3 linked regions of the Ovis aries genome follow. The protein of the gene in region 3 interacts with the protein of the main gene of each other region in a biochemical or structural test. Links are inferred from orthologs where the notes say so. Each region holds a gene or a part of one and is shown on either strand. Other genes may lie near its edges. The genes, in order: MAP3K1, MAP3K14 and IKBKB.

Evidence for each region.
Region 1: of the proteins of IKBKB (region 3) and MAP3K1, one has a biochemical effect on the other in vitro, tested with the Homo sapiens proteins (3 studies listed by BioGRID and IntAct). The link is inferred for Ovis aries from reciprocal best matches to the Homo sapiens genes IKBKB and MAP3K1.
Region 2: of the proteins of IKBKB (region 3) and MAP3K14, one has a biochemical effect on the other in vitro, tested with the Homo sapiens proteins (3 studies listed by BioGRID and IntAct, with this or other methods). The link is inferred for Ovis aries from reciprocal best matches to the Homo sapiens genes IKBKB and MAP3K14.

What each region holds. Positions count from the first base shown.
Region 1 is NC_056069.1:22,592,179-22,602,528, reverse strand, and holds the start of MAP3K1 (mitogen-activated protein kinase kinase kinase 1), read left to right. Parts: upstream 1-4,098; 5' UTR 4,099-4,123; coding exon 4,124-4,602; intron 4,603-4,867; exon of another isoform or gene 4,868-5,056; intron 5,057-5,274; exon of another isoform or gene 5,275-5,491; coding exon of another isoform or gene 5,492-5,670; intron 5,671-10,350. UniProt on the Homo sapiens protein: Component of a protein kinase signal transduction cascade. Activates the ERK and JNK kinase pathways by phosphorylation of MAP2K1 and MAP2K4. May phosphorylate the MAPK8/JNK1 kinase.
Region 2 is NC_056064.1:44,685,228-44,695,416, reverse strand, and holds the start of MAP3K14 (mitogen-activated protein kinase kinase kinase 14), read left to right. Parts: upstream 1-3,959; 5' UTR 3,960-4,046; intron 4,047-10,189.
Region 3 is NC_056079.1:36,485,579-36,495,280, forward strand, and holds part of IKBKB (inhibitor of nuclear factor kappa-B kinase subunit beta), read left to right. Parts: intron 1-753; coding exon 754-843; intron 844-3,454; coding exon 3,455-3,579; intron 3,580-6,862; coding exon 6,863-6,970; intron 6,971-8,418; coding exon 8,419-8,548; intron 8,549-8,769; coding exon 8,770-9,009; intron 9,010-9,479; coding exon 9,480-9,594; intron 9,595-9,702.

The sequences.
Region 1 (10,350 bases), on a different chromosome or scaffold from region 3:
GGGACCTTGGAGAAATGTATGAAGTCTTCAAATTTTTTTTTTTGCAAAAATGATAGTAATGACTAAGCCATAAAACCAACAGAAAAAGAATATCGCTTTATACACCAAAAAAGAGCAACTAACGGGGTTCAACAGAATTCAAAGAATCATTCAGAGTTGTAAAGGTAAGTAGAACTTGGCTGACTGTGAGATAAATCAGATTTCATTGGTTGCAGTTGTATTTTTAAATATAAAATCCCGATTCAGCTGGCTTTCATTATTCACTACAAAAATTTAGTTTCTGATTTTAAATACTTGCAAATATAAGCAAAGTATTTAGATGGCTAGTTAATAAAAAGGAATGTCACACGTATATATAGTATAAACTATTTCCCTTTAGCTGAAAACATAAGCAACAGGGTTTTGCCTTGTCTAGTCTGGGGTTTTAACCAGTATTTGGGTGGAGGGCCTTGGTCTTTTGAGTATGGGTCCACTATCCAGAGGCTGTCTCACATCTCTCATGGTCTACTGTTTTCACTCTTATTTTCTTTCAAGCAAAGTGAAAGCTGAGAGACATATACCAAGTTCTTACAGATTTGAATGCTTTTTTCTCTACTCTTTCACAATCCTCATATCCGCAACTGATTCGACAGACATTCTTTTCTGTGTCTCGATTTCACTCATTCTTTGAAAGCATTTAACTTAGTTTTCATCGGAATAACTTTTTGTTTTGCACTTGCATAGTCATGTTTAATAGGACTTAATTAAATTCCATAAGGACAGTTACAGCAGCTATAGTCAGATTTGGAAACAAATATGATGGATTCGCTGGGGTCTGTAACTCACCTGATGGGAGCAGAAGTGTGCAGCTGTCATGAGCGTTCATTACGCTGCAGCACCCCTCTGCCTGCTGCACACCACACCAGGAGTGACGGGTATCTGTTACTAGATGAGTCAGCAAGTGGAGGTTGGTGAAGAAGCTTTCTACTATAATGTCACCTACAGTGTACTTGCAAAAGGTCAACTGTCCCATAAATGACAAGATTTCCCAACTTAGGATATCTGGAAACAGTTGGAAGCATGGTGTCTGGAAAGAGCACAGAGAAACCAAGTTCTCGCCCCAACTCTCCTGCAAGTATTCCATATTAATATTTATAACTCGGATAGGATACCAGCTTTTACTCTATTCTCAAGGTTATCTTCTTACTCTTTATGTCTACCTAAGACATAGATCTCACAAACACAGGAGTGAAACCCCACACACGGATGGATCTGAAATTCTAGCAGAGTCAACTTGATAAATACCCACTAATAAAAATATTTGCAAATGGATTGTTTTGTTTACTTTTATAAATATGAAAAACAACAAACAATATCTCAAGAGAAGAAAATTTCTTGTGTGTGCATAATAGGTATTTAAGAAATAGAAGATGAATGCTACACAGACTGCAATATTTCTGCCAGTCCCTATTAAATCTGTTCATTCTAAATCAGTGATGTTTATGCATAAGAAGGAAATGTACTAGTATTAAACTGGATCCTCCAAATGACTGAGATTCAGGAACTGAAGTATGACTTAGGTGATTCCCAGAAGCACTATGTGGAAGCAGTGATCTGTAAAATATTGAGGTAAAGGTTACCAAAGCTGTCATAGCATAAATGAAATTACTGCAACATTTGTGTCTGAGAGAGAATAGAAATAAAGAGGTTGGAAATAGGAACTGGAATTTTCAGTGTACAAGCAAACTTGGAAGAGTCACAAGTCTCCTTTATGTCATTAAAGAAATCAAATTAAGGCAATTTGACATATGCCTTTATGCAGTAATATAAAGCAGGACCCAGCAGCACCAAACTAGAGACAGAATTTTAAGAAGCAAAAAATTATGGTAGCAATTCCACAGGTTAAATTTTCTTCAAAGAAGACTTTATATCAACATATGATGGAGGAAGAACACCCTTTTCAGTCAAGCACATCCTTTATCATTCTTCCTTAAAAAATAAGTTCGTCAGGGCAAGGTGCATAATGACAACTTGAATATATACATAAAAGATTAAAGGGGGAAATGACTCAAAGCACCAAAAACCAGGTGAAAGACCAGCACTTGAGGTCTTGATGGATGGAGGCGAGACGGGGGCTAGTTGAGAGCACTGTGCTCTTCTCACTTGGTCTCGTTTTCATCACTGTGCACAAATGACGAGGCTAAAGTAAATGTTTTACTGGATCCCGTTCTGTTTTGCTACTCTGGCCAAACTTCAAAATTGGAACAATTTTGAAAAGCTGAAGGCATCTGCTAACTTTTCTCATTTACAGTTAACTAAGTACATGTGTGCAACTTTAAAGGTTTTCTAACCTAAATAAGAAAGAAACAAGTTTATCCTTCCCAACGTAGGTTTTAGTGGGTGTAACAATCCGGGAAGACCTAGGAAATAACTACTGTTTGCTTTGGATGATACACTTGGCTACCATTAAAAGACTGTATAATCATAGCCTAACTGTAGACTTCAAATTTTAACAGATTTATCTAAAGTTTCAAAATTTGTACCGTTGGATGTAACTAAAACTAGCTTATGGCAGACTTCGTAGCAGTTAACACGGAGCTAATATGAAATCTGAATCCGCTTTAAAAATCGCTCGGATATCACCATCCTCCTCAGTTACCATTTATAGCCAAGAAAGAGGTTTTCATTTTATCTGTTTCCAAGAAATCAAAGGAATTATTTTGTAGACAGTTTAGACTTTTGTCTAAATGTATGAATACCGACAAGTTAGCGCTCTCCTTTCTCTTCCTGAGCAGCTCTCTCTCTCCACGACACTCCCCCACCCTACCCCCGCCTTAATTCCTGTTTCACAAAGTAAATCTAGGGACTCGGTTCCGGGCTTGAGGGAGATTTCTCAGCACTGACACACCGGCTGGAGGAAAAGAAGGGAGGGGAGAAGTAAACGCGACAGGGAAGCCAGAAGAAAGGTCTAAAATCATTAACATGTAAATGGTGCTTTTTCCATTCCAAAGCACCTTATCGCCAGACGCCCTCAGGGACTAGCAGGGTTCGTGACGCCGCGCTGGGTAGCTCGGGCTCCGCGGGGGTGGGGGCGGAGGGAACCCGACAGGCAGCCCGACCCTGCGGGGAAGAGGGACGTGCAGCCAGAGGCATAGGGCTCGGGGAGGGTCAGAACCTGGCGGAGGATGACAGCAGCCAGCACTTCCTGGTTCCTTCCCCAAACATGCTGTGGTCCTGCGTTATCTGCCTTTCCCAAAGACAGCGGAGGAAAAAAAATTTATAACGATTCACCTCGACCACCCACCCCACCCCCCCGACCCCGCTGCCCGGTCCTTTCGGTCTCCCTCTAGCTGGGGGCGGAACAGTGGGTGAAGAGGGTGTCCCAAACCTGTGATTTCAGGTTTTGAACACGATATTCCAGAAACTTCTGTTTTATTTGTAGCACGATCTGGGGGTGGGCAGAAGATGAGGAAAGCTTTTTTTATATATAAACTTGGGTTCTGGGTCCGCGGCATCACGTCAGCTGAACATTGGGTTTCTCTTGCTTTGCAGCAGGCGACCGTCCCGGGCGCCACCTGCGCGTCCCGCGCGGAGTGGAGGCGGGGGCGAGGGTAGGTAGGTCCGCGCCCGGGTTCCCCGACGCCCACTGCAACGGGCACGCGAATGACAGACTGCAGGCCCTCTGGCTTGCGCCCCCTTCAACGCACCGTCCATCAAAGCTCGAATTGCAATTCCCTTAGGGCGAGCGCCGGCCGAGCCGGGCCGAGATTGCGGCGGAGAGGAAGCGGAGCTCTGCCACCGAGGCTCCTCCTCTCGCCGGTGCAGCCCGGGACTACCTGGCGGCGCGGCGGGTGAGGCGCGCGAACCCCAGCGCGCCCCCGCAGCGGCCACCTCGGCTGCCCGCGTGCGGGGCTGAGCTAAGAGTCCGCTCCCCACCGAAACCTGCGGCCCGCCGTCCTCCCCCCACTGAACCCAGCGCGCCCGCCCGTCCGTCAGTCCCGGCCGGGCGCCCGAAGGGCCGCGCTCACGCAGTTGGCGTAGCCAGCCCTACGCTAGAGGCGCAGAGCCCGCCCCCCGCCCCCTGCACTCTCCCCGCCCCCTCCCTCCCTCGCAGGGGCCGAGCGAATGTAGCCCGCGAGAGAAAATGGCGGCGGCGGCGGGGAATCGCGCCTCGTCCTCGGGATTCCCGGGCGCCGGGGCGGCGAGCCCCGAAGCGGGCGGCGGCAGAGGGGCCCTCAAGGCGAGCAGCGCGCCCGCGGCAGCCGCGGGGCTGCTGCGGGAGGCGGGCAGTGGGGGCCGTGAGCGGGCGGACTGGAGGCGGCGGCAGCTGCGCAAAGTGCGGAGTGTGGAGCTGGACCAGCTGCCCGAGCAGCCGCTTTTCCTCGCCGCCTCGCCGCCGTCCTCCTCCACTTCCCCGTCGCCGGAGCCCCCGGACGCGGCGGCGGGCGGGAGCGGTTTCCATCCTGTGGCGGTGCCGCCGCCCCACGGAGCCGCGAGCCGCGGTGGCGCCCACCCTGCCGAGCCGGCGGCCGCACCGGACAGCGGCGCCCAGAGCCCCGCGGGGGCCGAGCCGGGGGAGAAGCGGACGCCCGCCGCCGAGCCGACTGCGGCGGCCCCGGCCGGGTAAGCAGCGCGGCCGGGGAGCGGCGGGGACTTGGGGGGCGGGCGGGCTATTGCAATGAATGAACCCCGGCATCGCGCAGGACGTCCCGGGGCTCCGCAAAGCAAGGCTGCGCGCGGCTATCCGGGACCCGAGCTCTCGGGCACCCTCTTTGACCCTTCCAGCTTCGGGCGGCGCCCCGGACCTGGCCTGGGGGACCGGACGGGGGCCCGGGGCGGGGACGTGCTGGAGAGTTTGTTATTGTTTGCAGACATGTGACAGGCGTGCGAGCCGCGCTGCTTGGACTAGTTGAGATAAGGTGTGGGGGGCCGGGCTGGCTTTGTGGGGCTCCTGGAATCGGGGCTCTCCGAGGAGCCCCGGAACGGGACCCTGGCGCTGCCCTCCGGGTCAGGCTGGAAGAGGCGAGCAGCAGTGCGGCGGCGGCGACCCCGGACCTGAGTCCCGGGGCGCGCGGGGGTGAGGCCTGAGCCTGCGGGCGGGCAGTGTAGGTGGGCGAAGCAGGTGGGCAGCCCTGCCCGAGACCGGGTTGGAGGGCCGGAGGGCGGCGGCGCAGAAAGCGGTGGGGTCCCCGGGGCGGTGACAGGCAGAGCTTCCAGGCAGGTACCGGAGGCCGGGCCGGAACGGAGGCGGCGCGCCCCGAGCGCGGCCGCAGGGGGTTCCGGGTGGACGGCTCCGTAACGCCTGTCAAAGCGGTGCAGGGTGACGGGCTGCAAGCTCTCGGGGGCTTGCGGGGTATTAGGACGGAGAGTTTTCTAATCGCGTCCCCCAAGGGACTCCTAGTGTCCTGGGGAATACAGACCGCAGCACGGAGACTTGAGTGACTTCTGTTTGGAGTTTGAATTTGGCCTTTGAAGTTTGCATTTGGCGGAGTGGTGTAAGAGCCAGGACCGGATGTGTCAGCCATTCAGTTGCAAAGCGGTAGTGCCTACTCCCCGCAGCCTCTCCGGAGTGGTTGGGGACCGCGGCGCGGGTGCGGTGCTTCCTGCTCCCTGCAGCTGCGCGGGCCGCCTCGGGATTCCAGGGGACCCAGTGCGGTGTGCTCCGGGGCCCTGGGCTGCCTGCGCGTTACGGTATGTGCAAGGTAACTCAGGCCAGCTGTTCCTGGCCTGGCTCTTTTTTGGCAACTAGAAATTTGTGTTTAAGGAAATTATTTTAAATGTGACAGCCATAGTCCTTGTTTTTGTTTGCTTTAAAATCTAACTAGTGTATGCAGAGCACAGGTTTGAGGGGTATTTTGAGTTGCTGGAAATGTTGTGATAGTCACCCGTTTCCCTGTAGGGCTTCCTGACCTTTATTCTGAATGTTTTAGAGACTGCCTTGTAGTGGTTTCCCTTGTGAAACGAATTTGACAGTAGGAATCATTGGCTTTCGTTAATTATCTGGTGATTTGGCACTTTTGGGGGCAACTTGATTCTATGTTTAAAACCGCAGTTTGTTGATTGCTACTTAGAAGTTGGCCCCTCTCTTTCCCCACCTCTCGGGGGAGGGGACCCTAAAAATGTGGTCAGCAGTGTGCCATGTTGAGAGGAACAGGGACTTGTGACTGTGCTGGTTTTCTGTGTGCACTTGTACATGTAGCTTAGTCTTACAAGGGTTATGTTTCTCTCTCTACACTACTGCTTCTTTGCAAATTGCATTAGAACTTGACTGGAATGATTCGTTGTAGGCGATTGTTACTACAAGTGAGGTCCAGTTAAAGATATTAAACCCTGAATTTGAGAGGTGAATTTTGTCTTATTCCCATGATACCAAGTTTTTGGATGCAGTAAATAATTTAGCAAGCCTCAGCATTCTAGGCATCTTAACGAGCTATGAATATAATAGAAGAGGAACCACTGTAAAATTAATGTATAGATGTTTAGTGTTGTCTCCACACAAAATAAGAGGACGAAAGTGAAAGCAGATAGAATTCAGGGAGTGAGTAATCCATGTTTAATTTTTGCATTTTATAACCTAGTTTTCCCCCTCCCCTTTTCTGAAAGGGTGGATTATAATTGCACAGTATATGAAATAATAGACTAATCGGCAAAATCATTTTTTAAAATGAATTTCGCTGGCCAGAATGCTGTTTGTTCATCCCAAATGTTATACATAAACATTTCATTTATAGTAAAATATTTATTTTCTCTACTTTTGAAATAGTGAGTTTTTTCCATATTTCCTTGTTCATGGGGTTGAAATTCATTTGAGACCGTTGGTATAAGCACTTTGACTGTAAGGAGGAAAATTGCAATTGAACTTTAGTTTTTGGATAATAGTTACATTCATACTTTAGAAGGATCATCTAACATCAAGATTTTGAAATATTTTTATGTTTCAGTAGTACTGTACATCTTTAAGACCTGTCATATTTTTTTAAAGAGAATTCCTAAAGTTTTTAAATTTCATAATTCCTCCAGTTTTTGAACTTTGGGTGTAGAAATTGAAATTGTGGAAAATACAATTTTGTAGTGTAAGTAATATAAATAATATTGATATTAAAAATAGAAGATTTTAAGTCCACCCCTCTTTTTCAGGTTGGTAACTGAAATCAGTGAAAGTTTCTTGCCTGTAAGTGGCGCCCAAGGGTTTGGGATTTTTCCTTCTAATACAGAATTAGGGGCTTTTTCTTCCTATTTACTGTCTTTGAAGAGAAATTACAGTGTTACTCTCCATTGAACAGGCTATTGTGAGTTTGGTAGATATAATTACTCCATCCTATTTTTGTAACTTAAAAAAAAAAAAAAACCTAACTATCAATTTGCTGGCCCCATGAAAGAACAAGATATGCTGTGCTTGTTAATGTTAGTTTTTCCTTAAAACTGAAGCTGTTTCATAGGCTGCTTTTATATCCTCATATAGCCCTCAGCTTTCACTTCCTTTTAGAAGCTTCTGGACTAAAAATATAATTCAGTGACTTTACTAAAGGAGGTGTAGGAAAATTATTGCCCCCAAATAAGTTTTTTTTTTAAAAATTGGTGGTTTTATAAAATGACAGAAGTAGTTACATAAGTTAGTCTTCCATGAATTTGTAAGTTTTGTAGTTAGGAATTGTCTCCAAGTTTTATTTTGAATCAGGTAAGAAAATGAATGCATTCTTCAAAGATTATTAAATATAATTCTGAAAGGGAAATATTAGAACTAGAATTGTTGCCAACTTTAGTTTTCTTTTCATATCTGATTCTGGCATGAGTGACTGGTTAACCAACATTCCTTAATACATTATTTCCAATATGCTATAATAACTCTATTTTGCTAGATTAAAAAAAAACAGGAAGTAGCTCTGTTCATTGATACTCTTTTTCACATCTCCTATACTACCTCAAGCATATGTTGCACATTTTAGAAATGGTTGCTGACTTACTGACTTGGAAGATTTCAAAATATGGAATGAAAGGAGCGTTCTTTGCTTTCAACAAGAGCAAAAGAACCAGCTACAGCTTGCCTAGGCTGTCTGCTGATCAGCCCTTGACAGTTGCTGGGAGCATTCCAGAAGAAATGCTGGAGTGGCTGGGGCAGTTAATAGGGAATGGATTCCCCTGAGGGAAAACATGGGGCATTCAGAAGTTCTCTGAGTAAGAAGGCACAACTTTTGCATTTTGTATCCAGATTTCTTGGGTTGAGGGTTATTTTTCTTTGAGGAAGGCAATAGGAGAATGTGGCATGGAGAAGCATTAGTCTCCAGAGGCTCCTTAAGAGCTGCAGTATTTTGCACTTCTAACCTTGAAATGCCTTGCTATATCAGATGTACCAGGTATATTCCTTAGACTTGGTTGTTTTCTTCAGTCCTGGCCTCTGTTTATAATCTAAGCTGAAAATTAGTTACTTTAAAATGTAAATGGGTAAAAAAGATTAATGTGAGGAAATATGCACTATTAAGAATCAACCCAAGTTGTTTTTAAGAAATAATTTAAGAACATTTTGAAACGCAAAAGAAATAATCAGAAACAGAATTGAAGTAAATGTTATTTAGAAATCCTCACTGCAAAGCTAACTGCTAGTTGGGTGTTCTTGCAAGAGAATAAGAGGATTTTTGCTGTGGTTAGTAAACATGTTCATCGATCAAGTAGAAGTACTTTTATATAGTCACTTTTCTTGCCTTCTGTGTGTCAGGCAAGTTATATATTAGCTCATTTCATCATGTCTGCAGCCTTCCAGAGTGTTGTAATTTTCTGTTTTCAAGAGGTAGAAACTCATGTGTGATGCTAAAGCCCCATGATCACACGACTGGAAAATAGGCTAGGCTTCCAGTCCATGACGATCTCACTGCACAGTCCATTTCTTTCCATCCCTCTCTGCTGTCTCCACTTTCTTTTACAAATTAATGGCCAGATTAATGATTTGAAGGAGGAAGTTGTCCTTCAAGAGTCAATGTGAGAATGATAGGTTTCTACCCAGTGCCATTGCCAATACGTTTGTCTCCTGATGTGTCCATAAAGCATGATGTTTGTAACCTGGCCTCATACATGTAATACAGGTAAACTGTGCTTAGATCACCTCATCATGTTAGGCAGGGAGAACAAATGATTTGTACTTAGATCGTTTCATTGTGTTAGTCAAGGAGAACGGTTGGTGAGTGTTGAGTGTTTCTTAGGTTTCTTGATTTGTGTGGTTTATAAGTAGAAGGAAATAAAGAAGCTAATATAATATCACACATTCATTTTAATCATCACACATGGAAACTGTTCCAGTAGAGTCAGATCCTCTCCGTTTGTACTTGTTTTAGATTTCATTCATCCAACTTTTATGAATCTCTGCGAGGTGATTTTCTGGGTGGTAGAGAAAAATGTCATCAGTGCACAGCCTCTGTTTCTGCTGGCAGATTGTATTATGAAGAGGTTTCACACTACCATGTTAAGTGTTGTGAGAGACATGGGAATAGAGAGGAGCACCTAGATTAAGGATTAGTGCTCTGAATCTCACCCACAGCATTTCACACTGTATCTCTGCAGTGAAAACAGTAGTGCTTCCTTAGCTTTCTGAGGAATGATTGACCTCTCAGGACAGTAGTTAAAGGTGGAAGCTTTGTTCTGCTTTCTGCTTGTACCTTTGGTCTGCTAGTTTTTGCTCTTTCCCTTTCTTAGGACAGATATATACTGTAGCTTTTCCATATCCACAGCAATGGCAAATTCAGGTGCAGATTACTTTCAAACTATTTCTGCCTATACTCTTAAAAGGTATGAGTATGGAACTGCAAGTTCAGATGTGATTTCTTTCTTTCTTTCTTTCTTAAAGAGAAAATTAAGTAGCGGATATAGGAGCAAAAAACTGAGGATCTGCCAACACTGGATTTACAATTCAGGCTTTATTATTAGTAAAAGCAACTCTGTTAGTTAGGGAAATAACATTGGGAAACGTATAGAGTATGCTCTAGGCTATAAGATAATCAAGAAGATATCCTTGTCTCATTTACTCTGGCCTATGGGTTAGTTTAGGTATGTTTGGTATGGAAAGGAGTTCTGTACTGTTAGCGATAGAATCCTTTGAAATAACCAGTCTGGTTAGTTTGGTTTAATAGATTGAGATGTTACAGAGAGCCAAGAGCTGTTAAGTTCTTAAGACCCACCAAGCATGTATTTCTGAAAATGCAGTCTGTCACCTGGGAATTAGTGATGAGACCTTCAGTCCTCTCTAAGACTGAAGCAAGAGCCTGGAGCTTACGCAGTGCTGTAGTTAGCGTGTTGGCTAAGTGTCACAGTAAGCATGATGATGAGTGTATGTGGAGTCAGAAGAAGGTAGATATCAGGGTGGGGGGGTAGAGGTTGTACTCT
Region 2 (10,189 bases), on a different chromosome or scaffold from region 3:
CTACAGAAATGATTGGGCAATTTACTTCTTAAAGCCCACGGTGTCTTTGTAGAGTCCCGCATGCAGGAGAGCAGAAGCTCTGGGTCGCATATGATTTGAAAGCCAGATCTTCTATTACTTGAGTGTTACTGTTCTCTGAGCCTCAGTTTGTTCATCTGTGAAGTGGGGGTGGTAATAACAATAACCTATTCTATGAAGTTAAGGGTTCTCAACTGGGGGTAATTTTGCTGTCTTTGGGACATTTGTCAATGCCTGAAGACATTTTTTGTTGTCACAACTGGGTGTAGGAGGGTGGTGTTACTGGCATCAAGTGGGCAGAGGCCAGAAGAGCTTTTTTCTTTTTTTAAACACGGGATATAATCTCCCTTTTTATTTTTTATCTATTTTTATTTTAACTGCACTGGGTCTTCATTGAGGTGCATGGGCTCTCTAGCTATGGCGCTAGGGCTCAGTAGTTGATGCAAGCATACCTCTATTTGTGTCATGCAGGCTTAGTTGCCCCGCAGCATGTGGGATCTTAGTTCCCTGGCCAGGGATCAAACCTGAGTCCACCTGGTGGATTCTTAACCACTGGCCCTCTGGGGAAGTTCCCAGAAAAGCTATTAAAAATCTTATAATATATATGATGCCCCCCCCAACAACAAAGAATTATCCAATCCAAAATGTCAGCAGTGCCAGATTGGGAAACCCTGGACAGAAGTGAATATTTAGCAAGGTGATTATGCATACAAAGCATTTAGAGGGACTTCCCTGGTGGCCCAGTGGCTAAACTGCTGCTGCTGCTAAGTCGCTTCAGTCATGTCCAACTCTGTGCGACCCCATAGACGGCAGCCCACCAGGCTCCCCCGTCCCTGGGATTCTCCAGGCAAGAACACTGGAGTGGGTTGCCATTTCCTTCTCCAATGTATGAAAGTGAAAAGTGAAAGTGAAGTCACTCAGTCGTGTCCGACTCCTAGCGGCCCCATGGACTGCAGCCTACCTGGCTCCTCCGTTCATGGGATTTTCCAGGCAAGAGTACTGGAGTGGGGTGCCATTGCCTTCTCCGGTGGCTAAGACTACACATTCCTAATGCAAGGGGCCCAGGGTTCAATCCCTGGTCAGAGGACTAGATTCCACACGCTGCAGCTAAAGATCTCTGGCTCAATAAAAACAAAAAAATTTTTTTTAGGTTTTTTAAAGCACTTATAAATAGCTGATTTATTTTCTGTAAGCTCTCATAAAACAGAAGCTGTTATTCGTCTTGGAAAAGCAGTCTTGCCCTTCCATTTCCAGACTTGAAACATGGAGGTGAGATGTGGAAATCCTTGACTGCTGAGAACCCAGCTCACTGCTCCAGGTGTGAGTCACCCCACAAATACCAGTTTATTTTATTTCGGGCAGAGCTGAGACTGCACAAGTGACTCGGGGCTAGAAACCTTCCCAGGTTGTCATGACTTAGCTGGCTGGGCTGGAAGGAAGTCATTTTACCCTGAAGCACTCCTTCCAAAAGATGCCAGCATTTCAAGGCCTGGAGTCTCTGTGGAGCTCAGAGTGGATGTTATGCTGCCTCTTACCTCAGCCCACACACAGTGGATCTTGGAAAGGCCTGAGGAAACTAGCTGAAAAAACCACGAGGCCCCGCTTGCCCCAAATCTCTCCCTCACTAGCCTGTAGAGGCTCGCTCCTCTCCTGCAACCTAATGTGAAATTCCTTCTTGGAAGTTGCAACTCTGGATCAAGACATTCACTCATTCCCACTAATACACATTAGTGTTAGTGGATAGATTTTGCTGTTGTTGTTCAGTCGTGTCCAGCTTTTTGCCACTGCTGAGTTTTCGAAAGCTTCTGGATAGATTTAAAGGTAGATCATCTTGATTGCAGGGGGTGGGGGGTGGGGGGTGTGTGCAGGGCTGGGGTGAGGGCATCCCACTGACCCAGAGAAGCGTCAAGGGAAGCTGGGTAAAGTACATGGGCACTGGGTGTCATAAAGAAGGAACAGTGCAAGAGGCAGAAGGCTAAGGCGGGTCAGGGAATGTGTGCAAACTCTGGCCCTGTGCCCATGTCTTTCCTGAGAAGCAATATGCCCAGAGGCAAACAGGTGGTGGAAGAGGCAAGCTCTGCATCCAGGCTTGCTGATAGCAACCATCTGGCCAAGCTCTGCCTCTCCCTGACTCACTTAAATGAAAACCCTGGGGTTGGAAGCAGCTTTAAGGGGCCCCCAGCTTCTTCTTTACCCATCATTTCCCACACCAGTCAGTAGCAGAGCCAGTTTATGCAACGGAGACTATCCAACTCCGAAGCATGGGCTCTATTGGGACCATAACCCCGAATGTCTCAGTAGCCAGGCAGATGACATAGGTTAAGTGGTTGAGAGCAAGACTGGGGGAGGGAGGTGGGGGTGTGCTGTGAGGAACTCCAGGCTCTGCTCTAAGGCATGCAAATTCAATTTTAAGAAAACATTGCACCAGCCAAACAAAACTAATCTATGGCCTGAGTGAGTGGATGAGGCCCTGAGGTTAAGTTTTCTGCCTGAATGAATGGTCTTTCCTATTCCCCTCAACCAAGATGTCTGCTAGAGGCAGATCTCCAGAAACATACATCAAGCTATGAACGACTGTCCAAAAAGTGGTCCTGCGACTTCTCTGACACCCCCATGCTTAAGACTCCGCATTTCCAATGCAGGGGGCATGGGTTTGACCCCTGGTCAAGTAACTAAGAGACCCCATGCTGCGTGGTACAGACTAAAAAACAAAACCTGAGCAGGTCTTTGCTCCAAGGCTTCCAGAGATGGGGTAATCCTTATTTCTCCAGACGGCCTTGAATGGGGCCTGCTTACCTCTACCACTAGAGCCGCTTACCTCACTTGCCTGCCCTAGACCACTGATGGGGGTGGAGTGCCCAGGTACCGGCGTATCTTTTATTTTGCAAACTACTTTTTAAGTGTGGAATTTTTTTCTTTATTATAAATAAAAAACAAGCTCACTGTGGAAACACTAGAAAATTTGGAAAAGCAAAAGTTAGAAAAGAAAAAATAGTCACACCTCCCTAAACCAACTCCCCAACCCCTTCGCTGCCCCATCCCCATTCAGAGAAGCACTGGTGACACCTTGGTGCATATTCGTACTCCAAGTCCTTTTTATACATAGGTAAAGCTCTAGTCTTCTTTCTGGCTCCATAAACCCAGCGAGGAGATGCTTCACGCAGCGCTCACACCAGGTTACTTCTCTGACTGTGGGACGGGATTGCACCACGCCAGCCGCACGCTCTCACCAGACAAGGGTTTCAACACACAGGTGTAACCTGTATAAGCCTTTAACTCCGCAAGCTTCTCGAAGGCAGGCACTATTTAAGCCTCAGAGACGCTACAGCGCCAGGTTCACAGTAAGTGCTTAATAAAATGTTTCTAAATACACAGCCCCGCCCCGCCCTGCCCCTCTCCCCCCAACTGCCAACACACCTGCCTCAGCCGCCAAGGCTTGGAGCAAAGAAGAAACACAACCAAAACCTGGGGAGACGGCGCTTCGCGGTCTCCTAGGTAACCAGGTCTTAGGCTGGGGAGTGCCCATGCATGCGCACACTGGCCCTTCCTTCCCGTAACCTCCAGAGGAACGCAACCAGTAAGACTGCCAGAAGCCGAGCGCGCATGTGTGGTTCCACCAACACCCCGACCGCCTCCGCCTTCTGTCAATCCGTCGGCCCAGCCATCTCTTTGCTATAAACACTGTCCGGAAATAGTGCCCATTTCTGGAAACAGGGCCTCGTTAACCAATCGTTGCTTGGGGCGGTAGGAAGGAACTGGCTGAGACGCGCCGTCTCATTGGAAGATTGGGGAGTGGGCGGGGCCAGAAGCTAGGCGCTGCCAAAGCAAGGAGGCGCGAAGCGAGGCAAATTTGCTGCCGCGGGTGGAGGCGTGGCCCCGGGGGCGGCCGGGAAGGCGGTGAAGGGGCGGGGTCCGGGGTGGGGCGGGGCGACCGTGGGCCCAGAGAGCAGCGGTCCGCGACAGGCGGCGGGAGATCGAGGGCGAGGCGAGCGCGACACTCGCTGGTGGGGGAGATCGGCGCTCGGCCGGTAGGTGACTAGAGCGAGTCCCGGGGCGAGGGGCAGAGAGGACGGGTCACTCCTCAACCCGGGGCCGGGCTGCGGCCTGGCCCGCCGCATCGGAATGGTGGGGTCGGCGGCGCGGCCCGGGGACCCACTCGCGCCGGTCCTCGGCTGTGGCAGCTGGCCGCCGGTGCGCCCTCCCTCACGCCGCCAGGGCCACGGTCGCACGCCGGCCTCACCCTGCACACCCGCAGGCCACACGCTCCCCCGAAGCGCGCGCAAGGGCCCCTTCCTTCCCTTTCCCGGACACCCCCGTTTCCCCGCGCCAGGCTGCTCCACCGCCCAGGCCTGCCCGTCCTGCTCGGTTCCCTGGATGTTCTCCAGAAGGAGGGCTTACCTCGGCACTGGGCTTAAGGTGCCGAACGCCCCAGCGCGCCGGGTCCCTGCGTCCTCCCACCTGTCCAGGCAGTGAAACCCTCAGGTCTTTCCTGGGAAGTTCTCGGGGTCACACCCCGAGCCTGGGAGAAGAGATGGAGCCTCCGATTAGCACCCAGCGGGGCAGTGCTGGCTGGTCGCAGCATCCTTTCTCTCCCTGACTCCTCGATAATTCTTTCCACTCCACTCAGGACTTCCTCTGTCGGCTCAGATAAAATATCCCATCTTGGAAGTCCATCATGGTCCTGGCAGCCTGCAGCCAGAGGCACCAGGCAGAAGGAGGCCCCGTGTAAAGAGCCCCATTTGCCCAGGAACCTCCTCTGTGCCGGGTAACTTCAGGAAAAGCAGTTTGTTTCCTAACTGAAGTTAGGATGTGGCTCTCAGTCCTAAAGGGTGGACTAGGGAATGAGTAGAGAAAAGAGACAGAAATCTGTGATATAAATTGTTTTAACTGGAGGACAATGAACCCTGTCCCTTGATGATGAACTCAAAAAGCAAGTGAAGTTATATGGTGAGAGGTGGGATCTGATACAAAATAGCCTTCTGAAGTTTATTCCAGGAATAAATGTTGAAAACCCCTTGACTAGAAACATAGTCTTTCTGAAAGATTAGAAAGAGATAGTATCTTAACATTAGTGATGTTTTTTTTTTTTACTTAGTGTCTTCATACCTGTAACCCTTTTCCTTCAGATTTGTGTGTGATAAGATAAATAATATTGTCCTGTTTTAGAGGTGAGGCACCTGAAGCAGGTGTGTGTTTGGCAGGGACTGGAGGCGGGTAAATGGCTCTTGCCCAATGCCTCACAGCTGAGACTCAGGGTGACGACTTTAATCTGGGCCACTGGAATCTTTCCCCAGCTCCTTTCCCTAAAGCAGAACCACGTTATGGAACTTGGATGCAGGACATGGGGAGAAATATTTGGTGTGGTATTTATGCTCTTAACATGAGAGAACAGGTGCTTGTCTCACTTACAAAGTGTTTGGATTTACTCTTGGTGTTTTTTAAGTGATGTCAAAGTCCGTTCCTTTGGTGCAGTGATGCCAGACCTCTGAGATTTTCAGATGCCTGGAGGACATCCTCTTTTATTTTGAAGGGTGTGGCAGTGAACTTCTCAGAAGGCCTCAAAATAAAAGTACTCATCTCTGACTTTAATTTTAGAAATCTATACCCAGGTATGTGTTCCAGCTCTTTTGTGAGACCAGACAGCAGTAAGCCACCAAGCTTCAGTCCCCTTCTGACTGTTTTCAGGTTATAAGGAGTAGTTCTGAAAGGGGGTTTTTCGCCCCTGGTGCTGTCTGTTAGAGTTTGTGGGAGCAAGCGGTACCACAGACAGAGACCCTGCCAAATGAACCCTCATCTATTAAACAAAAATGTCTGGTTGGCCATTTCGCCTCCACAGACGGAGGTTTGGTTCCTCATTTTGTTTCTCCTATTGAACACTGACTCCATTGTGATCTGCTTGGAGTGTTTGTGTATCACTGAATGTTGAGAAGCGGGCTTGCCCTGATTGGTTGTCCAACTCCAGGCAACTGTTGTGGTTTTTGTTTGGTGCGTGGTAACGGTTCTTCCTGGCCAGGGTCTGGTGTGAGATCTGCAGAGATGGGAGATGGGTAAAGACTGACCCAGGGCTGTTCTCCTCGTTGTTGGCACCCTCTTAAGGGTGTCCGATCACTTTGGCCTGCGACGTCACTTTAGCTTCCTATTTTTTTTCCTGTCTCAAGGGACAGCACATGAGCTTTCCTAACCGGCCTGCCTCCCTTGATGAAGAGCTGAGAGATTCATGTTGGTTGACCTAACAGATGGTCTTTCTGGGAGGGTAGTTAAGAAATCTTAAACCAAGTTCGGCCCTGAATTAAAAGTGTAAGTTAGCTTGATACACACATAGAGAGCCTCTTTCTATCAATGGCTTCCATCATCTGAGAACTGTTTTTTTTTTTTTTTTTCCTGGCAAAAGGTTAAAATGCAACTAAAATTCTGCTTTCATGATTAATAAGTCACTACCGCAGTTGTATCTGATGCTTCCTGTTTGCCCCATTTTAGTATTTCAGTTAAACTGGAAACATCTGAGCCTTATGGGCACTTTGGAAGACACCAGTGTGAAAGTGGTGGTGGAGGGGGGAACAGTTCCCTGTCAGTGGATTTGGGAAGCTTTAAGGATAAGCCTGCTCCCCCTAGCCTCCACACACTGAGATCCCTGGGCAGGGCAAGTAGTAGGAGTTGAGCACCTTCAAGGGGTAGGTGAGCTTTTAAATTGATGCACGTGTGAACGCTCTGCATTTGCTGGGTGGTGCTGACTGAAATGTTGAAAGCAGTCGATTAGAAATGGAAGGCCAAACATAGGGCAGATGGAGTAGTAGAGCATTTCAGTCGAGCTGAGCGAGGCACTGAACATCTGTTGGCTTTGGGGTCTTCAGTTCTAGCCTTGTCTTAACTACTTGAGGGACCGTGCAGAGAAGACTCACTTTTCCTCAGTGCCCTGTGTGCCCTTCACTGTATTCTAGTTTAAAGGCTCCCCTTCTCGTGGTGGCCAAGGCAGAGGTGGGGGTGGACATGTAGATTGGGAGTTTGGGACCATCAGTTACAGACTCTTACATACAGATTGGATAAACAACAAGGTCCTACTGTACAGCACAGGGGGCTATATTTAATATCCTATAATAAATGATAATGGGAAAAATACATATATGTATATATAAAACTGTATCACTTTGCTATATACTAAAAATTAACACAACATTGTAAATCAACTGTATTTCAGTAAAAAGATCCCCTTCTCTTCTTGCTATTTTGTATGTTTTAATCTCTTATCCTACTGGTATGAATCCCTTGAGATTATATGACATTGAGAATAATGATACCTCATGGCCATTCTCTGTGTTTTCTCACAGTATTCCAACAAAGGAAGGCAGGGACCAAGATCAGGAACATGAAGCCTAGTAAGGAGAGATCAAGTGGATGAGATTACTCAGGGAATCAGTGTCATGTCCAGAATCTAAACCCACATTTCTTGACATCTAGTTCAATGCTTTTTCTACTAACTTACGTATAAAAGGATAAGTTGGGAATTTTTTTGTTTCCAAAACATGTCCATTTTGAATATAACTAAACCAGGGTAGCTGCTTTATTTTTCTATTTACGTTCACAAGGATTATCAAGAAGTGTTATCAGAAGTGTTATCAAGTAATTAAGAGTCGATACTTGTTATCCATAATAATTATTACTAAAAGTCTGAAAGATAAAGAGCACATCCTCTGGTCAAGCCTGCTTATCCCTATTTTACAGATGCAGAAAGTAAAGCAAAGGGGTCAAGCAACTCGCCCAGAACAGGAGAGCCAGTCCACGGCATCTTTGTGCCCTGTGTGGGGGGTTAGGCTGCCGGGTCAGAGAGAGAGCCAGGTCGGGTCCAGGTCTGCCACCGTCTGCCTGTGTGACACCAGGCAAATCAGTTCACTTCTCTAAGCGTCCGGTGCCCCATCTGTAAACATTTCGTGGTGTTGTTTTGAGTAGAAAATGAGAGAATATATATAAAGTGCTGAGCTCAGCACGGAATAAGCCAGAAGACACAATGGCTGTAAATGTGGCTGGTGGTTGTAGTGGTAATCGCAGTACTGGTAGTTGGCAATTACCACTTTGACTAGACCTGTTTTCTGTAAGATGATGTCAGGAAGGGTCAGGCTGCCTGACAGGGCCTGTCATTTTCTCAGCAGAACCACGAGTGGGACATGTCTTCTGTCTGGAGGTTTTAGCTGTCATGTTCTCCCTGTCTTACACTAAATTCTGCCCTCATCACCCTCCAAAGGAACCTAACAAGGCTCCAGCTCTGCCTGCTCAGAGCTGGCAAGCCTAAACCTGGGGCACCCTCGGCCACCACCCAGAGGAAGGTACAGCTGTGCCTTTCTGGGGCCCTCCTGTGTCCCTCATGCAGTGAAGTGGGTGCCAGCCTTAACTGTGGAGGGGAAAAAAGGAAAATACTGTGTAGAATATAAGTCAACAAACACTTGTTCCTCTCTGGGAGAGTAAAAGGGAAGCCTGGGTCCTGTGGGGCAAGGTTCCCACCACCGTGTGGCACCCTGCCCTTTGTCATCTTTTCACTGGTCTGGGGGCCCTTGATCCACAGTCAGCAACTCTCAGATTTCCCTTTAAATCACCCAAGGGAAAAAAAAGCAAAAAAAACAGTTTCACATTACATTTTAAATTATTTTTCTCCCCCCTCTCTTAATAGAAAACAAAAATGCAAGCTCCCACCAGGCTGATGTCCCCTTTAAATAACATCTTGTTTTCTCTTGGGGAAGCTGTCTTCATGGCCAGAGAGTCATTTCTAAAGTGAACCTAGTTTTTAGAAAAAATAGATCACCGGATGTCAAGCCTCGTGTGGAGCTAACAGTTCAGATGAAAATGAAACCAGCAGGCCCGGAGTGGCAACTCCACACTTGACTTCAGACTGGAGGTGAGAGGCAGAGTGTGTCTGAGCCCAGGTCGGCAACTGGTTGGCCCCACAGACTGCATTTGATAGGTGCCTTAGTCATTTTCCAGGCAGCTTTGCTTAGGTGAGCAGAGCACTTTCTCTGGAAGGTGAGTCACACTTGCAGGGGTGTAGGTGACATGCGATTTATTCCCCAGCTCAGTCACAGGAAGTCTTGAGCAGACCTTGTGGAGAAGCTGTCTGCCAAAGCTCATGTTCATTTCAGTCCAGGGGCTTTGGAGGCAGGGGGGATAAGGAAGCCAGCTAGGGGCTCCCAGGGCTTGCCAAACAACAGAAAAATGGCTCCTCCAGCAGGGGGTCATGTGGACCCGGCAGAGAGCCCAGATCAGCAGTGTCACCACGCTCTTGAGCCCAACCACCTTGAGGGTGGAAAATGGCCCATTTCCAATGACAGTCAACAAAGAAGCCAGAGGAGAGCTTTGGCTCCAGGGAGCTGGGAAACCCCTTGGCAAAAAGCAGAAAGATACAAACCACAACTTTGGTGTGAAAGGCCTTTCGGGGAACCCTTTTCTACCTGCTTTCCTTTTTACCACCTGAGTTGGAGGCTCTGAAGAGCTCCAGGGATCAGAAAGGCTGGATTGGACCTTGGCTTTCAGGAAACTTGCGAATTCTGAGCCTGCCACACCAGTGTTTGGATTCAGAAAGATGCTGCAAAGGAGACTCCTGAGCCATCTCTTCCACACAGTTTCTGGTTGCCGGCCTTTCTGCCGACCCTCTTAGCACTAAAGCCATGACCAGGTATCCTTCAAGGCACAGGGTTTGTTTCAGACTCTCTGTCCTGGACCAATACAGTTGGTGTTGAACTTATTGCTGAAGGTCAGAGACCTCTCAGTGTCCAGGTGGGCTTGACTTTATTGAAACCACAGGGGAAGAGCTAGTGTTATCTTGTTTCATTTATCCATCGCAGGCTCCTCTCCAGCCCCCTGCCCACACCTCTTCCATCTAGACTAGCCAGCAGTCACTTTGGGTGGGCGTGGCTAAGTGACCTTAGGCCTGAACCTCTCTGTCAAGAAAGAGCTGCTGGGCTTCCCTAGTGGCTCCGTGGTAAAGAATCCACCTGCCAATGCAGGAGACATGGGTTCAATCCCTGATTTGGGAAGATCCCATATGGCAACTAAGCCTGTGTGCCACAACTATTGGGCCTGCGCTCTAGAGCCCAGGGGCCACGATTGCTGAAGCCTGCGCACCCAAGAGCCCGTGCTCCGTAGCAGGAGAAGCCGCTGCAGCGAGACGCCCGAGCATCGCAACCAG
Region 3 (9,702 bases):
CCCTCTGGCCTTGGGGCCTCGTACTTCTTGGAAACGGACGTTTTTTTGTTTTCCATTTGTTTGGGAGCCTCAGCTTTTGAAGCTCACAGGGAATCCAGCTGTAGGTGGGTTCTGGATGTGGCCGAAAGGATGTATTTGGAGCTGTCCTGGTCCATCCTGCAGTTTGCCCAGAGCTCTCGAGGGGCCCCCGCCGCTCAGGTGTGGGGTCACCACCCTGCAGGGCTGGGCTGTGTTTGTTCAGCTGGGTGGTGAGCAGGGCTCAGACAAGTGGAATGCAGTCGCTCAGCCGTGGGCTGTCTGATCTCTCCCCCGTGGCTTCCGTCAGCGTAACCCACGCCCGTCCTGGCCCTCACCTCTGTCCCTGTTCACACTCATTCCCGGCAGTCCATTGGAGGTTGGAGAATTTAAAGTGTTTACTGAGAAGGAACCGCGCCTGGTCCTCCGAGTCACGGCAAGTCTGGGGTTCGCAGTCCCGACGGCCGGTGCGTGGTCTCCCAATTCTGACCTTCCTCCAGCAGGTGCTTGCCAGGCAAGGGAGGACAGGCGCCTGGCGTTTTTACGTTGTTTCTTTTGCCTGAACCTACTGCATCTAAGGCGTTCTCCTGCCTATTCGGCAGTCCTTAGGAGCTTAGGGTCTTAGCACTGGGAATTCAGAAATACACCCTCTGCGCCAGCAGAGGTGCTCAAGACTCTTGAAGGACAGCGGACTCGCATAGTCCTCAGATGTCTCTCCCTCCCTGCTTTTTCTTCTAGTTAATACACAAAATTATTGACCTGGGATATGCCAAGGAGCTGGACCAGGGCAGCCTCTGCACGTCCTTCGTGGGGACCCTGCAGTACCTGGTAAGAGGCGGGGTTCCTGGGTCTGCGCGTCAGCCTCTCTCGGGAGGCCATGGCCGCAGGGCTCTGCTTCTTTCCTCACCTTCTGCTGGCTGAGCTTGCCGGCTCTCTGGATGATTCCTGGATGCACAGGAAACACACTGGTGTGTGAGGTCAGACTCCTCATCCTCCCAGAGGCCCTGTGGAAGGGCGCGGTCATCCTCTTGTGTCTAAAGGGCTCTGCTCCTGGGCCCGTGCATGTCCTGTGACCTGCTATGCTGCCGTGTTTCAGCCCAGAGAGTGTAAACCAGGTTCCTGCTACTCCAAAGGGGCCTCCGTTCCCACACTGCATCTCAGGGGCTACGAGGAGAGGGCTGGCTTCCAGCTCCCACCCTTTCTTCTTCTTATTTGGTCTAAATATTGTGGCTCTATTTGAGTCCCCAATTCATCCAAGAAATACTGATCACCTGTAGTTTTTCCTTTTTATGTTTTATTTTTTTTGAGGGGCGGGGGTGCCACACTGCACATGCATATATTTAAGGGTTTTTAAAAAATTATTTATCCATTTTAATTGGAGGATAATTGCTGTACAGTAGTGTGATGGTTTTTGCCGCACATCAGTATGAATCAGCCACAGGCATACACGTGTCCCCCGCATCCTGAGTCCCCCGCCCACCTGCCTGCCTCCCCACCCCATCCTTCCAGGTTGTCCCAGGGCGCTGGCTCTGGGTGCCCTGCTTCATACATCAAACTCGCACTTAAATATATTTCTTTCTTATACTAAGAAAGCCACTTCGCTTGGAACCCAGTGCTTCCCAAACCTATCTTTCCTGGAAGCTCTTCCTCTCTTCCTGCAGACATGCTGCGAGTGTTGTTTTAGAGTTTAGGAGGAAGGCGGACATGGCCCTGATACACAGATAGTGAAGCGATTGGAGGGATGATAAGGACTGCTAAGGGAGAGAGAGCATGGGGCGTGGCGACATGCTAGGAGGGCCTGGTGCTGCCTGCACGTCCAGGGACTTGGGGGCGAAGAGGGAGTTCCAGGCGGTGGGGCAGCAGGAGGCACCCGGGAGGCATGGCCGGAACCAGAGAAGGAGGAGGCCATCTCGGGTTGAGGCTGGAGAGGAAGGTGGGGGACAGGTCATTCAGAGCCTCTCTGGTTGCGTTAGAGACTCCAGACTTGATCCTGAAACCTCTGGAGGGACTGTGAAGGGTCTTAGGCGTGAGAGGAACCAGGTTTACCTTTGGAAGAGACCACACTTGGCACAATGTGGAGGGTGAGTTGCAGGCAGTGGGCGAGTGGTATAGCGGCCGTTGGGGTGGGCTAGTCTGAGCTGGTGGGCAGCCATCAGGATGTGGAGGACGGCTCAAGAAGTGCCTGAGAGAGGGGCCTCTACAGGGAGCTTAGGACTCCGCACTTTTACCACCAAGGGCCAGAGTTTGATACCTGGTCAGGGAACTAAGATCCCACAAGCCACGCAGTGTGGCAAAAAAACCACAAGCAAACAAATAACAACAACAAAAAACACAAGGCCTGGAACAGGCTCAGCAGGACTTAGTGATAGATTGCATGCAAATGATGACCAGGAAATGTAGGCTGAATAACGGAGTCTGCAGTTCATAAAAGAAAAAGGAAAGAAAGTTGAAAGCCACTGGGCTCCATGGGCTTAAACAGGCTACCTGGGTCTTACATAAAAAAGAGAAAAAGCAGTCACTGAGGTCCTTGTGAGCGCGTCCACACTTCCCATTAACCCCCGCTGGGCAGTGGACGTGGTCCTTTTATCCCCTGCTCTGGGGGGGTAGAGGTTTCAGGGTGGGGACCTGGGGCTGTGACTCAGCACCTTTGCCCACGGAGTAGGTCCTGGGGGTCCTGCCCTGTGTCCTCTGGACCCCTTGTTGGCTCAGTGGCAATGAATGCAGGGCCCAAGCTCTGATGATTTGCGGGGCCAGAACTTCTGTCCAGAACCAGACACAGAGGCCGACCTGATCGTCCCACACGTTTCATCTTGGCTTGTGGTCCTTCGTGTCCTGCCTGCGCACCTCCGCTCCTCAGGGTCCTTTCTGGCACGTCTGCTCTCGGGCATCCCGAGCCGGCCACACCCCACCTGTGCTGGGAAGCTTCCTGTCACCCCAGGTTGACTGCTTGGGGAGCTGGCCTTTCCTGCTCGACTGTGACATTCTGTCCCATCAGGGACCGTGGACCTCGTTAGGGGGCTGGCCGGCATTCGTTGCATACACTATGCCTGGGTGTGTGTGGCCTGGATCACTTCCCCTGTGGTCCTGCACGGTGCCTGGGAGAAGGGTGCACAGCACACCTCAGCCCCCCCTCGCCCCTGCCGCAGGCCCTTGTTTCAGCCCCGGGATGGGATGAGATCAGAGAGTCTAGGTTCCACTGCCTGATTCGTGGCCACCTCCTCCCTCAGCGTGGGGTCCGGGGAGCGTGTGCAGGCCCGGATGCCAGGTGCCCTCAACATGGTGGCCCTCAGCGCAGGGTCCGGGGAGCGTGGGGCAGGCCCGGGCGCCCCCGCCATGGTGGCCTCTCAGTGCGGGGTCCGGGGAGTATGGGGCAGGCCCGGGCGCCCCCGCCGTGACAGCCCCTCTACGGCTCAGCTCGAGCGTGCCCCCCACCTCACAGGCCCCCGAGCTGCTGGAGCAGCAGAAGTACACGGTGACGGTGGACTACTGGAGCTTCGGCACCTTGGCCTTCGAGTGCATCACTGGCTTCCGGCCATTCCTGCCCAACTGGCAGCCAGTGCAGTGGTGAGTGAGCCGTGGGCCCGCCCCCCGGGAGGGTGTCCCCCGCCTTTGCCAGACAGCACCTCACCTTCCCGGTCTCGTGGGGTGCCCCAGGCCAGGCCTGAGACCCCTGTGACCTGTCACCCCGAGGAAGTCCTGTGGGGACCCGGCGTGAGCACAGCCTGAGCTCCAAGAGCCCTGGATTCTGAACCTTAACAGCCTTAAATCCAGTCCGTGTAAATGACTGCTCTGCGCAGGGCAGGAAGCCAGTGTGTTTACAGAGTGTGTGTGTGTGTGTGTGTGTGTGTGTGTGGTGGTAAACAAAAGGAATGTTCACATGACAAATAATGAGACGTATGTATGTGAAAGTTTATTGCTGACAAATCTTACTGCGCCTCAGTATAGTTTTTTTTTTTTTTTTTATATATGGTGGTATACCCGCTTCAGGGCTGTTCTCTCATATCATCCCACCCTCGCCTTCTCCCACGTAGTCCAATGGTCTGTTCTTGATATCTGTGTTTCTTTCGCTGCTTTGCAAATAGAATCATTGTTACCATCGTTGTAAATTCCATATATATGTGTTAATATACTGTATTGATAAAAGAATGAAACCAGAACACTTTCCAATACCATACACAAAAATAAACTCAAAGTGGATTAAAGTTCTAAACATAAGACCAGAAACTATGAAATTTGGTTTTAAAAGCATCAGACAGTGAACCAAGTACACTGCCGAAAAGATACTTTCTAATAAGGAATATGATCAAGGTTTTAAAAACTACTCTGTATTTTTAAACTTTTCTTCTAATTGTAATACTAATATGTGGTTCATTATATACATAAAAGTTAATCATTACTGAAACGCATCATTTAAAAGTTAGTGTTCCCTTGAACCAATTAGGGTTCATTCACAGTGATTCCTTGAGGGACCACACGCTAACTGAAGCAATAGTGCCATTGTCCAGAATTCTTTACCTCCAGTCTTAGTGTTTGGAGCAGCTCTAAGTTCACGGGATTCATCCTTTAGAAAGCAGAAGAGGGAAAGGTCATCCCTCGCCACCTGCTTGGTTCCCCCCGACCCACAGACGCCTGGCACTGTTGGCTTTGGGTCCACCTCGGGGATGTTTTGTACACCCACAAGTGAGCGGGCATGTATCTGCCCGCTGGCTCTTTGGTGGATTTCACCCCTTCTCAGCTCGGTGATGACGTCGCAGGCACGCCGCCCTGTGAGTGCTCCTCCAGGGTTTTACACTGAGAATTTCCTCCCGCCGCCGCTAACATTCCTCCGTCTCCAGACTCTTCTTCTGTGTGTCTGTGTTTGTTCAAAAAACAAAGTGGGTTACCATATGTACTCTCATAGAACCTGCCTTTCACACTTAACTAAAACAGCTCCGGGAAATCCCGGTCCATCCACAGTTATTTCCCTGGGATAAGTTCCTAGAAATGGGATCAACCTACCAGATCGTGCACATGTTCAAGGGTTTTGGTTTGTACTAACAACGTGCTCCACAGAAAGGTTGTATAAATAGCATCTCCAGCAGGAACATGCAAAGGTCCTCTCCCCCTGCCCCCTTTGTGGGGCAGCTCTGGCTGATGTCACGTTTCTCAGTATCTTCCTGGAAGTACCAAAAACACAGGCTCTCTCAAAGGACACAGGTACTGACATCATGAGAATGTTTATTTGTGAGACCAAGACGTAGTCTTTGAAATCCGTTCAAGAAGAGTAGCTTTCTGTGACGCAGTCCAGTTCGGTCACTGTTTACACACCAGACACAGGAAAGGATGAACCAGGCTCGGTCTCCGTGCCCGAGGGGCCTGGTGACGTGGCGGAGGGCGCCCTCCCGTGGAGACTTACGGTAGCACAAGCAGCGCCCTGAGCTGGGCTCCGCCGCGCTGACTTAGCTCCTTGCGTTAACAATCAGACCGCTTCAAACTGTACACGCGTCGTGTTTTTAACTTGCCAAGGGATGACTGCAGTTCTGTTCAAATGTTGAGCGTTTCCATTATTTATAGCAAGGTGAATCAGAATCCATCAGAACTAGAGGAAATGCCATTTGAAACCATCCCTGATGGCCCTGCTGTCTGCAGAGCCAGCCTCCCTCACGTTGCTGGGAGGCCAGGTGACCACTTCCAAGCACGCATCTCTGAAACCCGAGAGTCTGTGAGACGTGCCTGTCTGGTCTGCCTGTAATGCCTTAGGCAACGTCAACAATTTCACTCTCGTCTCAAACGGCAGATAGATAGTAATTTCAGAACAAATGCAATTTGAGCTTTATTATCCTATCATAAAGCTGCTTTGAAGGACCAGTCTTGAAAATACATTTTAGGACCAGCCTAAGCAGTAAGCGTTTCACTCACTGTGTCCTTTCATTTATCCGTGTAATTTCCCGTGGACAGACCTGAGTTTCTGTAGAGCACCATCCCACCGCGTGTGATGACAGTGTGGCTTCCGGCTGGCAGGTTCGAGCCACACCCTGGCTCTTCAGGCTCCGTGTGCTCCACGTGGGTCAGTTTACCCCCCCTGCCAATGAGGCTTCAGGCTAAAGCATTTTCCATCTGAATCTCTAACGTCTTTCTGGAAAGGAAGGATGCGGACATTCAGACAGAGTAGCAGGAGCGGCTGGGCCTGGCTCCAAGCCCCTGGTTCCGTCTTTCTCTAGTGGTGTGACTTCGGGCAGGCCATTTCCTCACCTGGTGAGGGTGGGGGATGGGGGGCTGAAAACTGCCTACCCCACAGAGGTCTCGGGTAGAGAAGGGTGCATTCACTGTCAGCGCTTGATTCTCTGCGAAGCGTTGTTCAGACTCCTGTCATCACCCTTGTCGCTGAGAATATGTGAGGCCAGTTTAAAATCTTTTTTCCTTAAACACTATTTCAGATACGTCTAAAGGGTCTCCTAGTTGGAAAACGTTAGCACTTCACTTGCCTTCAGAAGTCAGGCATAGCCATTGCATTTAGAGGGAAGTGCGTGGTGTGTGCAGGTGGTACATGAAGGGACCGTGGTGCAGACGTCCTGTCTTCATTCTCTGTGTTAGATGGAAAGTAAAAGAACAAGCCGGATGGGCCGGGGTGAGGTCAGGAGACAGCGGTACAAGCCCGCGGGTTCCTGACTCTCACCGGGCAGTACCGACGCCCTTAACCTCCCAAAGAAGCTTCCCAGCGGGTTGCTGGGCCTCACAAGTGGTTCAGTAGACCCCTGGGGGATCCTGTCTGGTTGTCAAGTGGAAAGTCACCCGTGTAAGGGGCTGTTGGACGCCCGCTGACATCAGGGTCACTACACACAGCGCGACAGTCCCCCCACGTCCACAGGCACTCCAAAGTCCGGCAGAAGAGCGAGATGGACATCGTGGTGAGCGAGGACCTGAACGGGGCCGTGAAGTTCTCCAGCTCGCTGCCTCACCCCAACAACCTCAACAGGTACGTCCCCGGCCTCTCCTCCTCCACCTCTGCGGCCGGCCCTTCCTTTCTAAAGATGGGGGTCGGGGCTGACGTCCGCGGCAGCTCTGACCCTGGTCCTGCCGTCGTCCATCTCGGTCTTAGCACACCGTCCCCACCCCACCCGTCTGGAGTCACCTCCTCGGTTCCCAGCACACTTGTCGCCCTCCTCACCCGTGGTGGCTCTGCCTTGCAGGCGTTTGGTCTGGCAGAGGGCTTAGCTCCTGGTCAGCCGTAAACCTCTGAAGAGTAGGGAATTGCCCCTTATGCTCTTTGCCTGTCCTTCTTTAGCCTGGCACTGTGTTTTTGCCAACAAATAAACCTTTGCATTTTGAACAGCATAGCAGTCTGGTCTCAGAGCCAGAATATGAGCCATCAGGTCATCTTAACAGAACTGGGAGATGGTTCAGGAGACAGCAGCTAGCAGCCCAACGCCAAGGCGCACGGCTCAGTTTCCATGAGTCTTTGGAGGACGGGGATGGGGTCCCCTGTGGAGGAGCTGAGCTGGAACTTCCTGGAAGGATCTGGACTGATAGGCAGGGCAGGTTGATGAAGAGGAAGGCTCTTCAAGGGGAAAAGACTTGGGGGCGGCCAGGGAGAGGCAGCGGGTAGCGATGTTGGCCTCTGGAGGACTTCTGTTGGAGGGCAGGGATGGGTGCTGGGGGCGCCCGGCAGTGCGGTGTGGACCCCTCAGACACTTCCCAGGAAGTGACTGACAACGTGGATCGAACTGGTGGTGTGGGGCGAGATCGTCGGGCAGTGCTCCTGCTGGGGAAGGGGGCTGCTCAGTGCCTGGAAAGCTGCCTGGAGGGTCTCGCATGGCCCTCTGCCCAGAGGCCCCCGCCGGGAGGGTGTTTGTGCAGATCCGGGGAGTCGGGGGGCAGGGGTCGAGCCCCCGAGCAATTCATCTTGTTAAGGGAAGGCTCACCCTTCCTCAGGGTGGTTAAGCCTCAGGGATCACTTTGGCCCCGAACCGCGATGGTCACGTGGGGCGGGAGAAGCGTGCGAGTTTTTCAGTACCCACGTGCACCGGGAAGCTGGTGCTGGGCCTCACGCAAATGCACGCACACACGTGGGATGGGAAGCTGGTGCTGGGCCTTGCACGTACACACGTACATACACACGTCTGGCGGGAATCTGGTGCTGGGCCTCGTGCACGTGCGTGGGTGCGCACACACGTGGGATGGGAAGCTGGTGCTGGGCCTCGCACACGCACATGCACGCACACACGTCGGGCAGGAAGCTGGCGCTGGGGCTCGCGCACACACACACGTGGGATGGGAAGCTGGCGCTGGGCCTCGCGCACGCACACACGTGGGATGGGAAGCTGGCGCTGGGCCTCGCGCACGCACACACGTGGGATGGGAAGCTGGCGCTGGGCCTCGCGCACATGCGCCCACACGTGCACACACTCTCCCCCTCCCCCTCAGCGTCCTGGCCCAGCGGCTGGAGAAGTGGCTGCAGCTAATGCTGATGTGGCACCCGCGCCAGAGGGGCACCGACCCCGTCTACGGGCCCAATGGCTGCTTCAAGGCCCTGGACGACATCTTGAACTTGAAGGTGAGCCTGCACCCAGTCCGCCCCAGGCCATGGGCCCCCTGACCCCTGTGAGGGTGTGATGGGACCCTTGCTGACTGATGGGTTGTGAGGTTGTCTCCAGGGACGCATGGGAGGGGAAAGACTCCGGGGGGCGGACCCCGGGCGGGGCCTCCGAGAAGCCGGGCCAGCAGGCAGGCGTCCCCGTCGAGCCGTGCCTCCCGTGACCCCCCGGGTTTTTGCAGCTGCTTCATGTCCTGAACATGGTCACGGGCACCCTGCACACCTACCCCGTGACCGAGGACGAGAGCCTGCAGAGCCTGAAGGCCCGCATCCGCCAGGACACAGGCATCCTCGAGGAGGACCAGGAGCTGCTGCAGGAGGCGGGGCTGGCCCTGATCCCCGACAAGCCCGCCGCCCAGTGCCTCTCCGATGGCAAGGTGAGCCCGGCCTCCTGCGGGCGCCAGGCGGCCGCCCATTACAAGGTAGGAACGCAAGATCCCGCGGACTTGGTAGGGGACACGAATCGCCCCGCACTGTACCTTCCAGACCACTGGGAGTGCCTTTTGCTTTTGCTGCCAAAGCGATGCTTCATTCTTCCACATCAACGGAAACTGTTTTTGACCCCGTCATGTGCGGTACCGTGCTGACCATTGCACAAAATTAGCCGCAAATTTAACACAGGGGAAGAGGCATTGGACCATAAAGGAGATGGCAGGCATCTGAGTGACACGGTAAAGACAGGATAGAGCAGAATGTACTGTGCTGTAGATGAGGTGTGCGTCAGGTCATAAGTGTAAAGGGAACAGCCAAGGGCAGTAGAGGCCAGAGCGCTGGGAGAGGCCTGGTGGGCACCTGGCACGTCCTGGCCGAGCATGCTCTGTAGTCTCCTGTTTCTTGGGGGACGGTGGGGTGGGGGCCGCAAGACCTCATTTTGCCTCTGGTCCCTTTGCAGCTGAACGAGGGCCGAACGCTGGACATGGACCTCGTTTTCCTCTTTGACAACAGCAGGGTCACCTATGAAAGCCAGGTCTCCCCACAGCCCCAGCCTGAAAGTGTCAGCTGCATCCGTAAGCACGGCCTATTCTTTTTAAAAAATGATCCCTTATAGCTCTTGGGACAAAGCTCGGGGGAGAGCCCTGGCCCAAGAGAGGGGTCCCCCCAAGCAGGCGAGTCCA